Linked DNA regions of Daphnia pulex. The protein of the gene in region 3 purifies or fractionates together with the protein of the main gene of each other region. This does not show direct contact. Links are inferred from orthologs where the notes say so. Each region holds a gene or a part of one and is shown on either strand. Other genes may lie near its edges. The genes, in order: RNA helicase aquarius-like, ATP-dependent RNA helicase DHX8-like, peptidyl-prolyl cis-trans isomerase E-like and zinc finger protein 830-like.

Region 1 (4,278 bases), on a different chromosome or scaffold from region 3:
AGGGCCGCGTGCGTACAGGTCATGGCTATAATCTTGGCCTCACGGACCAGCAGGTATCGCGATCGATCAAGTCCGCTTCGCAATAGCTCGAAAGCACGGAACTCTTCCAGTTGACTGAAAATCTTCCGAATGTAGCGCCAGCAGCCATCGGCGATTTCCATGTCCTCGACGTAGCTGCGACTCTTGAAAATGGGTTGAGGTGCATCTTCAAAGAATTTGGCGAACGGGAAAAGGCGACCGACATCTTCGATTGTGACTCCGCTGCTCTTGTCGCTCCGGACTCGGGCCAGGTATTCTTCCCAGCGGGCTAAAATGTGGAGGCGGAAGAAGTGGCCAGCTGTTTCGCATGTGTAGGCCACGTCACCGGCAACTCCGAGGGATTGCTGCAATCGCTGAACATGATCCAACAGCTCCAAGCGCTTGCCCAGCACGTAATTCACTCGACCGTATCGGCTAAAGTCCTTTTCCGTTTCGAGCTCCTCTTCACCGTGACCCATACGGAGCAAATGACGCTCGTCGATGTCTAGAGCCATGATCTTTTCGAACAATTGATTGAGAGCCATATTCGAGTGAGTGACGATAAGGGTCCGCTGTTCGGGAAAGTTGTGATAAATGTTGGAGATAATTTGGACTGCAACGTCCGTTTTACCCGTACCAGGCGGACCGACCACCATTGTCAAACCGGGCTGCATACCAGAACGGATGGCTTCGATTTGGGTCGGCGTGAAACGCACGGCATTCTTCTTGGGCTCATTAAACGGGTAAGGGCCGCGGCTGGGCATAACATGAGGTTCAACTAAAATATCTTTTCCTTGTAGATTGAAAGTTAACCGGAACGGTGGGGCCAATTTCGTCGAACCGTCTCGCCCTTCTTTCTCTTTTCCGTCCTCTTCATTAGTGCGGATTTCGTGTTCTGGAAAGCTTTCCTTCAGATGGGCATAGTCCAAGAATGTGTCGTTGAAATCCAATGCTGGAATTTGATTGGGCATTTTGGAGTAGTGAGCCGCTCCTGGGTCACCGTAGCCGAGAATGATGTCGTGAAGCCATTCGGGGACAACGCAATCCGTGTTCATCAAGTCTCGGATTGTTTCCAGCACTGCTTTGAAGTTATTCTCCTTTGGTTTACGTCGCATCAAGATGTTGAATGAATCGTAAACGTCCTCCCCGTTTTGCGAGACGCGATCCATGTCCATCTTGTATTGATTGCAGTCCAACCTTTATAAAAGAAGTGGACGCATAAAGAAGTCTGATTGAAAACACCAACAGTCTCATTTGAAACATACCAAACGCGGAAGGTTCTCTGTCCTCCTGGAATTTTCGGTCTGGGATCTGGTCCTTCTTCAATAATTCTTCCAAGGTGATCCAACATACCTTCGATCTCACAGCCTCGGACGTAGACTAAACCAACTTGCGGAACGAATGGTTCTCTGAATTGATTTAAAAAAAAAACGTTAGTTTCATCTTGAACAAGAACTAAAACTTATCTAACAAAATACCTGAAGTTAAAGTGTGTTCCGGGTGGGCCAGGTGGCCGGACAGTGAGAAGAAAGCACGCATCATGTTTGCGCAAGTTCTCCCATTCGGACTTGACATCGTTACGGACGTCGAGGATGACCGAGACATCGGCGCGAACGCGTGAAGGCTGTTTTTCACCGATATTCGGTTTCCCTACTTCGACCACGGAGAAGGCAGTGATGGGCTGAGCCATCCTGGCCCATCCGCCAAACACCACGTTTCCGTCCTCGCCTTTCCACGGCTTCATGCGGAAAACAGAGTCCTCGATGTCCTGTCGGATTTCATAGGTCGACTCCAGTCGAAACAGGTTGAAGTTACGCAGCAGGTAATCGTGTAGCGTCAAGAATTGCAAGTTGAGTTTGGGCAAGGCGAGACAGCCCTCGCCGGAAAAATATTCAGTCGGCACGATGTTTTCGTTCCAGATGATATCCTCAGTAGGGTACAACGGCATTTCATTGAGTGCCTCCAGTTGGGAAGCGCGCCTTTCATGACGGGATATCTGTAATAAAAAGAATTCCAAGGGTGTATATAAAAAACAACACAACAACCTGTACTTTCTCCTGAATTACGCTCGTATGTTTTAAACTATTTTTTACTCACCAAGAGCTCCATAAGGAAATGTTTGTTTTTCTCATCATTATCCGAATTGTCTGGGGGTGGCAATAGCTTGAGGTAAGCCGCGATATCTTGCAATACCGTCGTACTGGAAAATTACAAAGTAAAATGTAATTTTCACGCCACAAGTTTTTGAAGAGTAAAACTAATCAAATTTCACAAACCTAAGGCTTTCGAAATGCTTGGTGAGCGCTTCACGGGTATTGATGCTGGCCACGTTGGTCAGCGCAAACCGCCTCAATTCAGAGTATTTGACAAACACGGCCTTCTGGAGTGCTGTGATGCGATCATAGTGGAGTTGCATCATGTCGTGGTCCGTCAACGGATCGCCGGTTTGATCATTGATTTCAAAACGGGCGTAGAATTTGAGCATGTCCAACAACTGAAACAAAAAGAATAGTGAGGAAACAAATAAATAAAGTTGTAAACAGGATATGAATAATGCATAGCGGCGAGCTCATGGGAAAAGAAACTTTTAAATTATTGATCAAAGTTTGAAAATTGCATGAACCTGCGTATAAAATCTAGACAATGCTAGCAGGATAAAACAAAAAAATTTCCACCCTTCAGGAAACTAACCGGAATATATATCGGTCCGGATTATAAGCCATCCTTCCCCTATTTCGAAATTGGAGAATAGAAGAACAACACAGAAAAAAGTGAGAAAAAAAAGAGGGGGAACGTGCCCTTCCATTTGAATTTAAGCGAAGCCTTGAAAAGGGATTGGGAGCGATAAGCGAAAAGAGAAGCGGCTGGAACACGGCACACCTGGGCGTGTTTTTCCCAAAGAGAACAAAAGCCCGTCACTTTCTACCTATTCTTATTTCCGCCGCAGGCTACAAGGTTGCTTGGTCGACCACATTTTCGATTCTGCTGTGTACCGACTATAGGCTACGCTCATTTTCATCTCCCCTGTCGTTCCGTCGTCTGTTGTTCCCTTGGACAGCGAGGGAGAGAAAAAGACAGAAAGCTTCGACACTTTGTTCAATTCACATCTGGAAACGGCCACAAATTACAACTCGGTGCTCAAAAGTGTTACATTTCAACGTAGCCAGACAGGAGGATGTCATGAGGCTGTGAAGATCTTCGAGATTGTAACGGGCTTCAAAAAGAGGAGCGGTCGCGTCGTCCTTGCGTCATCATGTCCGAGTGGACAGCTACACTGTTGCTTTTGCTGATCCATCAGTTGGCGTCATCGACAGGCTTAGAGAATCTGGAAAGTGAAGGGCCAGTCGTGGGTCACTGGATTCACGTTCAGAAATGCTGTCCAGAAGCTCACATGATGGTGGAAGTGACCAGCAGAACCACGGCCACCACCCACAGCACTGGCTCCAAGTTTGAATGTCAATTGCAAAACGATACATCTTTCCGGTGGGCACCCGATTTCCTAGACAACCATAACAACCTTCTGTCTTTTGAGGGAAGCCTGGATAAAGACAGTGCCGATTCGGATTTTAACATCACCAAATTCTGCATTCCAAACGGGCCTTGCATCTCATCCATCGTGGGTAAACCACAATGTGGACCGGTAAAGAAAAATCAAAACTACTAATTCATTCAACATTTTCATGAAAATGACATGTGTTTTCCATATACGCAAAAATTAGTTTCGAGCCTGGCCCATCTTTACATACGCCGGATTTCAGGAAGATTTACAACTAAGACCTTTCGGTGTCCTGCGTCACGTGGTGGACAAGTTGGCTGAGGTTCCTCGTCACCACGAATATCCACTTGATCAGTATTGCGTGGACGGTGTTAGACTTTTGGGATCCGTGTCACATTTCGGCCACGGATTACCAAACGGTGCCGAAAACACAAGTTCAGCACCGTTGTCGCCTCCGTCAGACGGCCCGGTCTACTACGCTCTCATCTGCGAGCCGGGCCCGTTGGATGAGAGCGACTTTTTCGAAATGTTTGTGCGAATTTTCTACCCCATCGGCTTAGGTGTCGGCCTGTTGGTATTGCTCACGCTAACCGGAATTCATCTCGTTCTCAAAGAATTACGGGATCTGAGTGGTTGCATGCTCATTAGCCTCGTCGTTTCAATGATCGTCACCATGATTAGCAACCTAATTCTCTCATCTGCCGATTCTCGACCTAGTCCGTACCTCAATTTACTTTTCTTGGAGTCGGTGGTTCATGGCTCAG
Region 2 (5,445 bases), on a different chromosome or scaffold from region 3:
TGACAACATGGACACGACTGTCAAAATTTCGTCCGAACACATCTAAAACAAAAATTTTTAAAACGTCAATTACATCGATCAGGAACAATTGTTGATAATATCATACCAAGTGAACAGACATGATGAGCATCTTGGAGAGAGAAGGCTCCAGAGGAAATTCGGCCATACGTCGACCAAGACGCGTGAGTAATCCTTCGTCGTCTAGAGCGGAAAGGGAATGCAGCTGTTCAAGTGCCATGATAAGTGACTCCACAGGAGGAGCGTCCATGAAGTCGAAGTTGAGCAGGTCATTGATGCCCATAGCTTTGAGTTGCAGGACAGTGGAAGCGAGATTAGTACGCTGGATCTCGGGAACAGGCGTGGCAAGCATTTCATCACGATAAGCTCGCTCCGTGTACAAGCGGTAAGTCTTTCCAGGTCCAGTACGACCGGCGCGACCAGCTCGCTGCTTGGCTTGCGCCTGTGAAATGGGTGTCACCACCAAAGAGTCCATTCCGGTCTTGGAATTGTAGACTTTCTGCTTGACAAAACCAGGATCGACGACATAGTAGATACCGTCGATGGTAAGACTGGTCTCGGCGATGTTGGTGGCGATAACAACTTTTCGGGAGCCTGGTGGAGCCGGTTCGAAAATTCGAGTTTGCATTTCAGACGGTAGAGCGGAATAGACGGGAAGAATGATGAGCTCAGGAACGTCAGGGCCCATGGACTTCATGCGCTCGTATAGAATTTCGCAGGCAGTATCGATCTCTTCCTGACCAGTCAAGAAAAGAAGAATGTCGCCCGGTGGTTCGTTAAGGTGGATCTGCATGACGGTAATGAGCGAGGCATCCAAGTAATCCGTCTCAGGTTCCCGAGTATACAATATCTCGACGGGAAAAGTTCGACCCGGAATGGTGAAGATGGGCGCCTCGAAAAAGTACTGCGAGAATTTCACGGCATCCAAAGTGGCCGACGTTACGATGAGTTTGAGTTCGGCTCGCTTCTGGACGGCTTGCTTGAGAAGACCGAAAAGAACGTCTGTGTGAATAGTTCTTTCGTGGGCTTCGTCCAACATGATGCAGGAATACGATTGCAGATCGGGATCAATCAAGCATTCACGCAGCAACATACCATCCGTCATGTACTTGATCAAAGTTTCAGGACTGGTGCAATCTTCAAAACGAATCGTGTATCCAACTTCCTGTCCTAGACGACAACCAAACTCTTCCGAAACTCGCTTGGCAACGGACATGGCGGCCACACGACGAGGCTGCGTACAGCCGATCTTTCCACGAGCCGTGAATCCGGACTCGGATAGATATTGAGTGATTTGCGTAGTTTTTCCCGAGCCCGTCTCACCGATGACAATTAGGATTTGGTTGTCATTGACAGCTTTGATCAGTTCATCTCTGAGTTTGTAGATGGGAAGTGATTGACGTTGCTCGACGATGGACAAACTAGTTTTCTTGCCGAAAGAGGCTCCTTTCGGTCCACCAGTGATGTGCTTTTTCCATTCGGGCATGTCGTATACAGGGGCTCCCGTTCCGCGACCCAACGACGTTGACGGTGCAGCCCCAGCATCCGGCATGGGATCAATCCAGGTCTTGTTGGCGCCTTGAGCCGGTGCGTCAGCTGCTTCTTGTTCTTCTCTGAGCAACATTTTCTGTTCGCGGCGTTCTTTGCTGAGAGCGCCTTGCATCATGGCGGCTTGAGCTAGAGAACCGTCGGGATTCTTGACGATACGAACCGGACTAAGTTCATTAAGCACTCGACCGTGACCTCGAAGAAAGGGTGCCTCTTCTTCCACCAACTCGATTTCGATATCTTCTTCGTCTTCGGCCAGCTTTGGCAGTAAACCCGTTTCTTCGTCGAATTCGGGCAAGTCCATTTTGTCGATACAATTTGCTGCCATCATTTGCTTCAGTTCCCAGCGTTCAGGAGACGAAATCCGTTGCACACGCTTGCGGTTGGTTAGTTCATCCTCCTCTACATTTGCCTTCAAATCTAGCAATGAGAGAGGTCGATCTGGATTCCTTAAAGCTGTTTCACTTTCCTGGCTGGTTAGTCCAGGGCGGCTTGACGTCGAAGGAGCTGGGTTCAAATCTTCGCCAGTGTCTTGGTCCACATCTTTCATAGAAAGAGAGATCTTTTGGCCAGCAATGCTCATAACTTTGACATGAACCTTATCTCCACGATTGACAACTTCAGCCACACTATTCACACGGCCTTCTCGTCGCAACTGGGAGATGTGCACTAGACCCTCACATTTTTTCCGTATTCCTTCAATTTGTACAAAACAACCAAAAGCTGCAAGATTCATGATTTTTCCCGCGTAGACATTTCCCACTTCTGGATTCTCTGGAAAATCTTTTTGAGGTTTCTTTCGACTTGGGGATTCTCGTCTGCCTTCGTTACTTCTTTTATCATGATGACGATCACTTGTTCTGTTTCGATCTCCTCTATCTGTACTCCTGGACCTGTGACTTCTGTCCCTGCTTCTTGATCTCCTCTTTTGATCTCTGCTTCTTGACCTTCTACTTCGGTCTCTGCTTCTGGATCTCTTGCTGCGGTCTCTGCTTCTTGATCTTCTGCTGCGGTCCTTGCTTCTTGAACGTCTGCTTCTTTCCTTCTTGTCTTTACTCCTTGCTCTTTCCTGAACAGGCTCGATTGCTTCAGTAGAAATCTTTTCTTCTTTAGGAGCCATGGCTTCTAGTTCAGCCATTAAATCGTTAGCTTCTTCAACATCTTTAATAGTCAATTTTATGTCTTCGAGAAGCATTGTTCTTGCCTTAGGGTTATCTGCTAAGGCAAGACCAGGGAAGAGTTCCCGTTTCTTCTCTGTTTCTGCATTGTAAACTGTTTTCTTTACCTGGGCTAAGTTCACATCAGTTGTTTTCGAGTTGGCTGATTTCATGTGTTTGATAAGACGAAGCAAATTTGCAATGAGAGAGTCTGAAAACTCGGCGCCATTCTCCAGCATTACACTTTTGAACTCATCAAAGGTCTTGTGTTTTTCGGCCAATGCGATGATGAACTCTGCCAGATCTTTATCGTTGAGTCCCAAATGGTTTTCCAATTCTGTGCACACCTTAGAAACAAGCGACAGGTGTTCGAGTTTCTCTAATTCATCCATGATGATATAGGATATTTTGCCACTTATTAAATCATTTACAAATTGACAGCACAACAATTGGGATGGCGACGAATGTGGAAATTGACGAGCCGACGAAAAAACGAATGCTTTCGTTGTTAAGACAACGTTGCAAGAATGCTGTAAAAGAAAAATCAAAATTAATAGATGAACTGGCAACATTGCGCGCAAAAAATATTTACATTTTTTCGAAATGAATTTGTTAACTTTTGCGTTTCACAGATTGAAATGAAGAATTATCTAATCTTTCTCGGTTCTCTGCATTTTGTGTTTGAATTTGAATGAAACTTTTCCATGTTCATATTGAATTGGTATTCTAGACATACAGGTTCATTTTGCAAAATTCATATAAGAATGTAAACAACGCCGATGCTGCTACTAGTAAAAGACATTACTCATTAGTCAACAAGAGTTAAGTTTTTTTTAAATGAAAGTCTATTTGTCTAATGTCTATGATGATAAGATTTCACGAAAATGGGCAACTTAGTGAATTAAAGATTATAAACTAAGTTGCATCCATGAAAATGGTCAGCCAATTTAAAATTTATGTACAACACATTGTCAAAAGTAAAATTAAAAATATGACTTAAGCTACAGCTCTTCGAAAAAGGCCACGCGCGCTCCAGTCGATCCAGATTTTGACTAGGAAAAAAAGAAAAATTAACTCAAATTTGAATTAATGACTCTCATTCATGCGTACCTTTTTGAGAGTTGAGTATTTGTCGTCCCCTGAACGGAGTTGCTCTTCGTGTAGCTGATCGTAAAGCGTTTGTTTTTCACCTACTTTCAAGACTTCAATCTCTGTACGCAATTCTCTCAGTTGCTCCTGCAGTTGCTTCGATTTTTCCAAGTATTCGACTCTAAATTTATTTTAAAAAATGAGCAAACAATTACGCAACAATTCCTACGATAGATTTACAACCTCTCTTTCTCAATTTCAAGTGAGAGTTGCTCCATATCGCCATGTGTCATAAGGTCATAGTTGGATGAAGAGTTGACCAGTTCGGAAGCAGCAATAGCTGATAGATATCCACTACTACTTAAGCCAGTTAAGTTGGTGAGGCCAGTAAGCTGATTAGCCAGCGGAATAGGAAGGCGGGCCTCATAAGCCGGCAAACTTGCTTCGTTAGAGACATCGTCGAGTCGTCGTAAATGTTGCTGAATGTCCGACTGATGATGTAAATGGTGGTCTGATCCAGCTACCGACGAACTTGATGTCGGAAACAAGTTGGGAACAGACTGAAAAATGGTAATTGTAGTTATTCGCTCATTAAAATGTTGACAGAAACTGCAAAGTACCAGGACAGACGCGGACGACGGGATGCGTGTAATTGGACGAGATGCCGAGTGTAAGGCTGCAACACTAGCTTGTGTTGTTAAAAACTCTAGTAGCTTCTTTTTGGCTTGAGTTTCAGCGTAACGGGCCTGCAAAAGGTCACCTTTTAGCTGCTCTGCTTCTGCTGCACAACGCTCAGAATTCTCTAATAACCTTGAGGCAATTTGCTTCGCCTCATGTAATTGTCTCTGAGACAAAAGTTTTTCCTCTTCGGTCTAGACGCAAAAAGACAATTAAATGTAAAGCTACCTAAATAAGTTATGAAAAAATTCACTTACTTTCATGGCAGATAAACGAATTCTTTGCAACTCTTGTTCAGCGTCTGAGGCTTTTTGAGTTAACAACATTGACTCTTCTTCTGCAACTCGCGCCTTTTCGGCCAGCAGCTCAGCCGACTCTTCGGAACGCCTCTACAAAATTGGTATAATGAAATACTGTACTTGATACTAAAACTAAAAATTAAACTGAAGAATATCATACCAACTGTTCGTTCGCTACACGGAATTCTTCCTGAAAGTGAATTAACTGTTGTTCTAGGGCTGCTTTTTCACGTTCAGCTGTTTCGCGTAGTTGCTTCTCTCGTGCAAGCTTATTTCTTTCACTCTGTCGTCTGAAAAACGGTAAAGTAACCACAATAAGAACTCAACAATGAATAAGACAAAACTTGTCAAGGTCAAATTTACCTGAGTTTCTCTTCTTTAGCCTGAGCCTTCATTTGCTGAACTTCAATTGAATCCGGTTTCCTCCGACGCATAAAGAGATCATGATTTCCAATACACAAATCTAAGATCTAGACATAAAAATGCGGAAATAAAATTCGCTATCCTTTTTCATTTATGTAAAAATCATGGATTACCAATTTGTTGACTCGATGCTTATCCGAATAGAAAATAAAAGGGGGTGCAGTTTTGTCGACTGGTTTAATGGCAAACTTTTTGTCGTCATAGCTGATGTTTTGGATCTCTGACCAGGGAAA
Region 3 (4,794 bases):
GGAAATGGGGAAAATCCTTTATAACACGGTTAGATGGTAGTTTTGCGTTCAGTTGTCACGCTCAGTTGTCGCAGTTGGACAGAGATCAACTTATTCCTGTTACAGTGATCATGTATCGAGAGCTAATAATGATAAAAGGTTTTTATATTTGAATTTAATTCTTGCTTTACAGTACAAAGTGAACCAACTAATGTCGTTTTGTTAAATCAAGGACTGTTTTTAACGTGGCTACTGCTGGCGTCTGCCTTATCAGATCCCAGCCCGGAACCGTTTAATCCGAATTATAATAGGTTTCGACAAAAGATTCCTCGAATCGGCCGACGAGGTGAAGGAATCATCGCTGAATACATGAATTCAGAATCTTTTCCTCACGAAGGAAGTCTCTCTAATTTTTTTCTGAAGGCATCAAAGGCGGTTCCTCGTTTGGGTAGGCGCAAGGATATTTCCACGGAGGTGTGTAGTCCACAGTAGACGTAAAAAATCAGATAATTATTTCTAAACTTAAAAAAAAATATATATATCTTTCGAAGTCTGGTCGGGCGGCAATGGTTGGGGAGGAACCTTTTGGCCGTATATCCAATGAAATTCCCATTATGAATCAGAAGCAAGATTTGTGGCCTAATATGAATATTAGTAAATATCTTTTTTCATTCAAATACCTTACAGTGTCTAAAAAATGTCAAACTTGGGAATTTCCTGTAAACATACCAATTATTTTACTTGTTTAGATGAACTAACAGGCGCATTAAATAAAGAATTGAATTATCCGGGACCGCGGATACCCAAAGACCTGCAAGACAATTACATCCAAGATTTGATTCATAGCTGGATCAATCAATATGAAAATCTCAACGAAAATTAAAGGACCCATGACGTTAATGTTTTTCTTTTGTTTTTTTGTTTTTTTCCGGGAGGGAAGAGGGTTGGAATATACTGTAGTCCAATCAATTTGTTTGTTTATATTTTTCATGAGCACAAGACATTGGTCATTAAACAATGTAGTTAAAAAAAAGCTTCTTTTATTCATGTGTTACAATAGTTCTCCACAGGCGGACATAATGACTTTGTCAGTCGGTTTACCAGACTTTGTTCCGTACTTCTCCACTTTACGTAAAACATCTAGGCCGGCAAGAAGTTGACCAAATACGACGTGCTTGTTATCCAACCTTTGAAAACATAAAGGTGCTATTAGCATTATAACTATGATATTTTAACAGGGAAAAAACCTACCATTCTGCTTTGTCAAGGGTTAGAAAAAATTGGGATCCATTTGAATTTGGGCCTGAATTCGCCATAGACAGAATACCAGGACCGTTGTGCTTCAACGTAAAATTTTCGTCTTCGAATTTCCCGTTTCCACCGAAAATTGATCGACCACCGGTTCCATCACCGTTAGTAAAATCACCACCTTGACACATCTTTTGCAAAAGAACGTTAATAAAAATAAATATTGATTAAAACTGAGCTTTCCGCTTACAAATCCTGGAATAATACGATGAAAACTGGAATTCATGAATCCATAACCTTTTTCATGAGTGCAGAGAGCAAGAAAATTTTCAGATGTTTTAGGGGCGACATCAGCTCTCAATAAAATAATTATTCTGCCCAAATTGATTTTTCCAGCTTTAAGATCCATGTACACTTGAGGGTTGCCGCGAGGCTTTTTAGAAACTGCTGACTTAGTTTCAGATTCAGAAACATTGTCTTTCCCTTCAGTTGATTCCTTATTGTTTTCCTCCACTGGATTTTTATTTTCTTCTGTCTTTCCAGCATATTTTTGCAACCAAGAATCCTCTGACCAAACTGGTCTAGAATATCCTTCCTTAATTTTCCGAGGTCTTGCAATGTTTACAGTAATTGTTTTGCCAAACAACTCAGAATCATTCTGAAAGAAAGGCATCCATGATGGCAAGTAATTAAATATTTGTTTACTAGATAAACTGTAAGAAATTGTGAGAATACCATGTTATCAATTGCGGCAGCAGCATCTTCAGCTAGTTCATACTCAATAAAAGAGAAACCTCTATGTTTTTCATGATTTTCATAATCTGGAGGTATTTCTATATTAACAATTTCTCCGAAAGGAATAAAGGCTGCACGCACTACTGATTCATCTGCCTCATCAGGAAGGCCACCTGTTAAAATGAATCACAGTAAGCATTACATTTCGTAAGACTGAAATATGTTATTTGATCTTACCGACATAGATGTTTCGCTTGGCATTGTTAGATGACATGTTGCGGCACAAATTTGAATGCACCACAAGAAAGATTATCAAGAATCGAGGTTACGTGTTCAAAAACTTTACGTAAAGTATTGAAATTCTCAATGTTCAAAGCATCCCCATAAGCTAATGAGTAATATATAAATATCACTGTCTAAACCTTCCTTATTATTATGCACAGTGAGGACAATAATAAAATACCGATTCACAGGTTGCAGACTAATCAAACTGAAAACTGGCGTGGGCAAACAGTCAAACACGTTCGTCAGAGTGCAGAGACTGCAGACAGCATGTTTCGCTTCGTTATACGATCAGTAGAGCTAGAACCAAAGTGGCTGTTCCGCTTTTTAGCGACTTTTTGGAGATTTTTCCAAATTCAAATAGCCCATCAGATTATTTTATTTGAATCAAAATAAATTCAAATAAACGCAAAATAAAAAGGCTACTCCAAAACTAGTAAACTTGTTGCTTCTTCGCTGCTACTTTAAGGTATCTGATGGGAGGATCGCGGAATTTTTTTAAAATTGAGACTAAAGCACTAAACCAAAAATTTAAGAAAAATTTAACGGACATCGACGTGAATCTGACTGTTGGTTTTGCCAGTGATATAGGAAAAATATACATCTCTCTGGTATATAATAACTACAACAAGGAATTGGATCTAATAAATCCATTGACATTAACCCGCGGATTTTATCTCAAAATATATAATATTTGGGCCGATTTTCTTTAACGACAAAAGAGATCGCATAAATTTTAGAGGTAGATCTTAATAACGCGCACTTCTTTTTCGTTGACGTCTGGTTGTCTCAAATGCAAGTTCCGCATTTATTTTCAAATCTTTCTCTTTGTGATGAATAGCGTTTCAGTTATTCAATTAAAACCGAACCTGTTTTTTCACACTTCCGTTAAGGGATAGTGTACCTGCGTACGAATAACGGTTTTCTTTTTAATTAATTTGGAAAGTTAAGGGCTTAAGGCTAGGCTATCATAGAAAATGATTTATGTCAAGTAAAAAAATTATTTAGACGTATCTACTGCTACGTCTCTACTCTCTAGGCTTGGGGGAAGGCAACGTCCTTTTTAATGCATTAGGGAGTGCTGGATAGCATTTAGTATAAAAAGAGCTGTCAAGCGACAAGCATTAGTTCGTTCACTTCGTGGGCATAGCGCCTCTAGTGGCGTGCATTTTGCCCTAGGATCCAAAAGATGTACTAGAAATCAAGCACTTCCTGGTGCGTAAAGGGCTACATCTCAAACCATACATATGAAAGCGGACTAGCCACTTCGGATTCAACCCACCCGTCCCTATTCCTGTCACTGTCAACTCATAGTCGTCTGATCACTCTGATGTAAACAAAATGTGTAAAGTGTAAACTCAGTAAGATTTGAAGTCAAGTGTAAGCAGCCGTAAATTTCATTTTAACCAATTGTTTCATCTCTATTCGAAAAGAAAACCGCCGTGAGTTTATTGAAAAACTGTGAGAATATGAATGTGGTATAAAGTTGTGGTGTTAAATTAAATATATTTCCATTATAAAAAAACATGGGACGAACATCTAGAATCCGAAACAGGTTGGTTCGAATTGTGCATTCTCGCCCACTTCGGATTGATTCACATTCAGAATTCGTTGAACTTTGTAAATGGATGAGTGCGAATGGTTGGAATGCTGTGTCAAAAAATTGTTTAGTTACAAAGCCAGCTCTGTTTAATAGCACTGGACGAGGTCTCATGGCTATGTCTAACATAGCTCCTAACCATCTGCTAGTCCAGATCCCCCAAAGTCTTCTTATCACTAAAGAAAAAGTTTTGGCAGAGATTCCTGACTTACTACAGTTCAGTATGACTACAGCAGAATGTCTAACTTTCTTCATTTTGAACTCCAAGTTTAATGGACTGTACTCTTCATACATTTCAACATTACCAAAGAGCTTCTCAGTTGGTGGATTGTGTAAAAGCCAAGAAATAGCTGTCCTGCCCAGCTTTCTTCAAGAGAAAATAATGTGTAATCAAAACTTTGTCTTAAAAAAATATGAAAAAATCTTTGCAATATGGAGAAAGATATACGGCTCAACCCTCTCACTCGAACTTTTCCAGTGGGCTTGGTTTTGTGTCAACACAAGAGCAGTCTTTTATCAAGATTCTAAACAACACTCACATGGATTGAACAAGGTGGATGGAATGGAAAATAACATGGCCTTAGCTCCATATTTAGACATGTTTAATCACGACGCAGAAGTAGTCGTTGAAGCTGGTTTTAACAAAACTACCCAATGTTATGAAATACGGTCAGATAGACACATCAAGAAATATCAACAAGTTTTCATAAATTACGGGCCGCACGATAACATGAAACTTTTTTTAGAGTATGGATTTTTAGCAACCAAAAATTTACACAAAGCTGTGGAATTCGATATCGACGTTCTCTTCGATTTGGTCCTTGGTTGTCCTTCCAAACCATGCTGTTTGCAGACTAAGCAGATCGCCCTTCTCAGACAACTCTCCAAGATGGGGAATTTATTTTGCAGCCAAGAAGGATTCAGCTGGAATGCACAAATAGCACTGACGA
Region 4 (5,570 bases), on a different chromosome or scaffold from region 3:
ATATCGAATTAGAGGCATCATAGCTTAATTAAAATTGCATGAACTGTCGCAATACTTTGTACACCCTATTTTATTTGGGGGCTGCACATTAAACTGTTGCCGAAGTCTTAACGTAAAATAATTTTCGGCCTTCGATAGGTGGAATTAAATCTTTTTTCTTGTGTGTCATTGTCTCCATGTTGCGTTCTACAGTTCGTTGGAGTGTGGTTGACCGTACGCTATCGCAATCAGAAAGACCCAAAGGGCCACCCCGGTGCTTTTCTCTAAATTCTTCCTACGAATCCATCTGCCGTTGATCCCCCGTTTGTTCTATTCCATTTTACCGTACCCTTTTTTCTCCTTCACACTTACCATCTTTGCATAACACTCATTCCTAGGACTCAAGGTACTGGTCTCCTCCATAACTAACATGTTCATCATTTTATGGCTTATGTGTTGTTTTGCTTTGAGCTTATTGGACACGGTTCTTTGAATTCATTTTTTGTAGGTGCTTTACCGTAGCTAGGCCTAAATTTAGCGTTATTATTATTGCCTTTGTTTTCTTAAGTTTTATCTAAATTGTTAAATTTAAATAATTTTTGTTTTATTTTCTGCAGCTTGTGGGATTCTCAGTCGCATATCGCTTCAGACACATGGCTGCTGGAATGAACGAGGTGCAGTGATTTTCGAAGACATGATTGGAAACTGTGTCAAAGCGCTCCCTACACTAGAATTTTCATCAGCTCCCATTCCACAATTAATTTTTTTTTATTATTTCGTCATGTGTGCTCATCGTCCTTATTGGACTTCAGTTAGCAAAAGTTTTATGTTTTCCTTTTTTCTCGGAATGATGCAATGCCGAAGTGGTGCGGGATATGCGTAATATAATTGATGTGGCAATAGATGTTGTTCAGTTAACTGAAATACATTATAAATCTAACTATCAAATCGTGCTTTCCGGTATATTTAACATCAACATTTTGCAGGACGTTTGTGGACAAATGATCATGTAGCCTTCGATCGCCAATCAAAGAATTTGTCCATTTCAGCGTCGTCCTCGTCGCTTGAACTTGTCTCTTTCTCCTCTACCATCGATTCACGAATAGCTCGAACACGCTGGCCATACAATTCTTTCTTTTGTTCCAGCTCAAGAACTCTCCCCCACTTTATCATTTGCTCTTCAATTTCTTCCAGCTGTCTTTCAGCTGTAGATTCTTCCTGATCTTCCTCTTGGATGGCAACTGATGCTGTAACTTCATCACCAATTTCTTTCTGGAACTTGTTCCACTCTTCTTCTACAGGGTCTTTGAATTCAATTTGGCGAACCTATAAACAAATATCAAGATATTAGGTTAAATAATAAGTAGAAATAACATTAAAGTCTTTGGCATTGAACCTTGGCATCCATCTTAGGGTCATCAAAAAATCCTTCAGGTATGGCATTAGAAGAAATAGCATCTCCTGGCTGTGAAGTGGATATTTCAGTTCCACTTGGTGTTTGAGAGGACACTTCAGGTGCATCGTCAGTTTCCATGTCCTCAATTAAGGTAGGTGTTTCAATTTTGACTACATTAGAATCATACTTGGGTTTTGTTGAGTTTTTTAGGATGCTTTTTATTGGCATTGGGGCAATGAAATTAGGAGGTTGGTTATCAAAAAAATCTTTCGGAACTCCTTTCTTGGATGGTGAAGCTGAGGAACCATTAGTAGTTATTGAGTCTGCTTTCCGTTTGACAGCAGGAATAATTTGAGGCTTGGTGAACTGTGCTTCAACTTTGGGATTTTTCAAAGAAAGCACTTTTTCTCGGTGTAGTCTTCCATTGACGTGGGCAGTCCAGACCAATTCATTTTTGACAACGCTATTACACACGATGCAAGTCAGCTGTCCAGCACTGTTGTACTTAGCTAGCGGTGAATCTATTTTCTTAGCAGATCCCATTAGCTTTAAGGACGATTTTGATGAACTCGATGCCATTTCAATCTTATGTAGAGCAACAACAAAGTTTAAAAAATTCGGTTGTACAGTTATTAATTTCGTCCAATTTTGCTCTTTCAAGTTTTAATCAAAACAACAGTTGTCGACAACTGCAGAAGCACCACCTGGTGAAGGAACTTGAGCCTATCGACCTGTCATCTGGTAACCAAAAGTTGCAAATAAATTTGAAAATAATTTATCAATTTCACACTTGAGCTCAAACACGGCTATTGTTTTATTCTTCAATGCATGCCTAATCATTGTCTCCGTGTCTCTATCCTACCACATATGCAAAAAGAAAAAAACTCAAACAGACTGACAATCCAAAAATTAAGACAGCCATTGGGTAGTGTTCATGCTTCGTGGTTTGACAAGAACACTTGTCTGAGAACGAAAATATGATCAAGAATGTTACGCCAGCCAATCGCTTGAAAAAATTTTCAAATTAAAAAAGAACTATTTGATATACGTGTTTGCTCTAGATTTCCCTGTTCCACTTTCCCCGACTCACTCTTTATTAGTCCACTCAACCTTTATTACCTCTGTCCCAAAAATCCCACTTTTTTCGCCCTGTGAATAAATTTAGGAATAAATCACGAGGAATAAAGTCTTTTTACCCAAAATATAAACATATTAATTAATTTTTGATCCATATAAAAAATATTATTATTCAGCCATTTTCAGTTTTCAAGCATCAAGTTTTCAAAACATATTATTTGAGCGGTATCTGGAATGCCCATGTGCCATTCAGTAAATTAATTAATCCCAATAGCTTTATTAACATGCAAGTGTCCAGTCTGTATCTAGTTATACCTTCACCAAGCCTTTCACTTTTGTACGAGATCGTTTAACTACTGATGTTTCGATTAAATAACACACTAATGTACAGAATTCCATAAGATTTAAAATTCTTATAGATTGAGATTTCTGAATTTGGCTCGGAAAAATTGGATTGCATTTTTTACTTGAATTTGAATGGCTCAAACGTTAACGCGCATGTAAATTTTTCTTAAATCCATGAAGTCCTGTAAACAGAAAATAGTTACCAACTCCCCGACAAAATGTCGTGACCCGTGTGTCATGCTTTGTTCATTATTTAGTCGCTTACTTACGGACGTTATCAACGGTTTTCATGTCCGGTTCAGAATTTCGATGAGAATAATAGAAATGTAAAGAGAACCTTCTCCTTCTTTCTCTAACGTCCCATTTCACTAGAACTTAACTTGCCATTTTTTCATTCACATTTTCAATGAACGAGCTCAACGCTCCAGCTCATCCTCAGTCCTTTACTTTAAAGAATGGAAAAGGGACAGCTTAAGTAATCGTTTGCCACTTCCGGCATGTTGAAATCGGATATCTCGTTTGATTTCCTTATCACTCGTGGTAGATATAGTAGTCGTACGTAGATATCGCTGTATGAAGTGTACACAGGGATATTTCTCGACGTGAGGGACCTTTACTAGACCCAACGGTCATGACCTCAGAGAGGGGAAGAGATTGTTGTTATCTACGAAGATCGGGTTTCCAAATGTTCAGGAGATCGTTTATATAGAAAGCGCCTTTTGTGAACAGGCCTTTTAGCCGCACAGCTCCATCGAGCGCATCAGGTTGCTGTGCTTTTGCCGTGAGAGTAAAAAAGACGTACGTACTATATACTGCGCGAGAGAAACCTGAATAGCGAGCATCTATTTCCTCGTTCCTTACTAGGCTACTTCCATTTCCATTCTTTCATTTAAAGCAATGGTAGTGTTTAGGAGAATTATGGTTTTTCGAGAGTTGAGCACCAGAGTTATTTTAAAAATATGTTTAAAAAAATTAAGCATTAAAAGTGAATGCCAAAGGATGATTACCGTAGGCAGGAGAGTTATGTCATATATTATGTAGAAACTTCTAGTGATAACACGCTGGCCTTTTTTGTTATTTAAAGAAAAAGTCAAAATTATTCAGTACGTAAGAAAACTTGATTGTGACCTACGAATGTTATACACATTACGATTACGTTTCCTTGGCTCACTACAGAATGAATTCTGTAGATTAGATTTATTGTACAGAGTAAAGATCGACATCGTTAACCCGAGAAAGCTCAGTGCGCATTTAATAAATTCAGCTGAAATTTCTATATACAGCATCATAACTTGTTCTCCCTTATATGCGAATGTATAAGCCAGTGTAATGCCAGCGCTGACTATATAATTGAATTGTATCAATATTAATATTAGCTGTTGGCTAAGTTAGCGTAAATTAGGTTTGACTGTGCCGTCTTTCCCAGCACATCCAGCGTAAACACCATTCATGCGGAACTGCAGCTATCATTATATATCAAAATGTCCCGGAAAATTGAAAAATCACTGTTGACAGTATATCACTGCATTTCAAACTAGGACGGAATAACATGAAACTTCGTTTGAATAACATGGCATATTATTTATTATCCTCATTTATGTACAATTCATGAATCACGATTATGAGTTATTTTTGTTCGGTAAGAAAGTAAACATACAATTAAATCAAAATCAAATCAAGACACCCATTATCACGTAGTTTTACCGAGTTTTACCAAGGTCTCCATACTTTCATACGATCCGCATCCGATTTCAAGGAAGGTGATGAAATATGATCGTCATACAGGCTGATTTGATGTCGATAAATAACTTCGGGTGAATGTTGGTAGTGTTGGTTGGAAGTCAAAGAGCTGGAAGAACAATCTGATGGAAAAGCGCTGGTTGATGGGACACCACATGCAAAAAGTTCCACGATATTGGCATCGCTCGTCTTCCATTTTCTCTCGCATGACATTGAAGAAGGGACCACCTGATGATTTTCCCACTTGTTGCCTTGATTCAAGTTCTCAGCTGACAAATCAGGAGATCCGAAGAATGGAACGGACTTGAAACCGCAAGTCCAGCGAGACGGTATCACGTTGAGCGCATTGCTCGGTGAAGAATTCGGCGTTGATGTTAAATCAGCAAAGCTGTTGATTTCGTTTGAAAATGACCGTCGAGAGCACGAGTCCCGACTTTCCTCCGATGTTGAAGGTGATGAACAAATACGATTTGCAGGTGAAGAGCTGTCCATGACAAATTCGGAAGGGTCCATGTATTTTTCTTCAAACGATGTGCATGAGTCGCTTCCGAGCGAAGGTGAAAGCGATTTTCGGTTGGTCAGTAGTTCGGGAACTAAATTAGTTAAGCATCGGTCAAGATATTGGCCGACTCTTTTTTGCAGGTCTCCTTCCATTGCTTGCTGGGGTTGATTGTGTAAAACTTCTCGAACGATGCGAGCGCACTCGATGAACCCATCTTTAAACCTTGACGATTGATTAGATCTTGGCGAAAAACCATTAGGGATCGGGCAGCTAGTGCTTCCATCATTTGAATTGTCCCGCATGTTATTACGTCGTTCCTTGTGAAGCTTCTGGACGTAGTTTACAGTTAGTTCTAAAACGTCGGCCTTCTCCAGTTTAGCCGGTCGGGAACCCTGAAATTTAAAATTTTTATTTAGTTCCAGCTTCGTTTTTAATAACACTTTAAACAGTTAAAATATAATGTAAACGAATGCAATATGTATAATACACACCTCTTTTTTTACGCTGTCCGTTTCCATGAGAAGATCTTTC

Evidence for each region.
Region 1: the proteins of peptidyl-prolyl cis-trans isomerase E-like (region 3) and RNA helicase aquarius-like purify together in Homo sapiens (affinity purification with mass spectrometry; 5 studies listed by BioGRID and IntAct, counting the BioPlex papers as one, with this or other methods). This does not show direct contact. The link is inferred for Daphnia pulex from reciprocal best matches to the Homo sapiens genes PPIE and AQR.
Region 2: the proteins of peptidyl-prolyl cis-trans isomerase E-like (region 3) and ATP-dependent RNA helicase DHX8-like purify together in Homo sapiens (affinity purification with mass spectrometry; 3 studies listed by BioGRID and IntAct, counting the BioPlex papers as one, with this or other methods). This does not show direct contact. The link is inferred for Daphnia pulex from reciprocal best matches to the Homo sapiens genes PPIE and DHX8.
Region 4: the proteins of peptidyl-prolyl cis-trans isomerase E-like (region 3) and zinc finger protein 830-like purify together in Homo sapiens (affinity purification with mass spectrometry; 3 studies listed by BioGRID and IntAct, counting the BioPlex papers as one, with this or other methods). This does not show direct contact. The link is inferred for Daphnia pulex from reciprocal best matches to the Homo sapiens genes PPIE and ZNF830.

What each region holds. Positions count from the first base shown.
Region 1 is NC_060021.1:10,933,449-10,937,726, reverse strand, and holds part of RNA helicase aquarius-like, read right to left. Parts: coding exon of another isoform or gene 3,738-4,278; intron 3,659-3,737; coding exon of another isoform or gene 3,272-3,658; exon of another isoform or gene 2,958-3,271; intron 2,513-2,957; coding exon 2,295-2,512; intron 2,219-2,294; coding exon 2,116-2,218; intron 2,015-2,115; coding exon 1,497-2,014; intron 1,428-1,496; coding exon 1,284-1,427; intron 1,216-1,283; coding exon 1-1,215. Other genes in the region: probable G-protein coupled receptor Mth-like 5, read left to right, coding at 3,272-3,658, 3,738-4,278.
Region 2 is NC_060022.1:2,535,820-2,541,264, forward strand, and holds the start of ATP-dependent RNA helicase DHX8-like, read right to left. Parts: upstream 3,248-5,445; 5' UTR 3,116-3,247; coding exon 107-3,115; intron 43-106; coding exon 1-42. Other genes in the region: merlin-like, read right to left, coding at 3,725-3,775, 3,834-3,993, 4,056-4,372, 4,433-4,684, 4,748-4,879, 4,950-5,079, 5,153-5,259, 5,326-5,445.
Region 3 is NC_060020.1:8,628,680-8,633,473, reverse strand, and holds peptidyl-prolyl cis-trans isomerase E-like, read right to left. Parts: upstream 2,536-4,794; 5' UTR 2,237-2,535; coding exon 2,200-2,236; intron 2,136-2,199; coding exon 1,963-2,135; intron 1,886-1,962; coding exon 1,478-1,885; intron 1,419-1,477; coding exon 1,231-1,418; intron 1,167-1,230; coding exon 1,031-1,166; 3' UTR 945-1,030; downstream 1-944. Other genes in the region: uncharacterized protein LOC124191929, read left to right, coding at 111-138, 212-453, 531-633, 729-862; uncharacterized protein LOC124192235, read left to right, coding at 4,504-4,513, 4,591-4,794. UniProt on the Homo sapiens protein: Involved in pre-mRNA splicing as component of the spliceosome. Combines RNA-binding and PPIase activities.
Region 4 is NC_060019.1:8,117,763-8,123,332, forward strand, and holds zinc finger protein 830-like, read right to left. Parts: upstream 3,250-5,570; 5' UTR 3,067-3,249; intron 2,114-3,066; 5' UTR 1,955-2,113; coding exon 1,376-1,954; intron 1,306-1,375; coding exon 985-1,305; 3' UTR 753-984; downstream 1-752. Other genes in the region: tetraspanin-31-like, read left to right, coding at 597-662; protein hairy-like, read right to left, coding at 4,508-5,431, 5,531-5,570.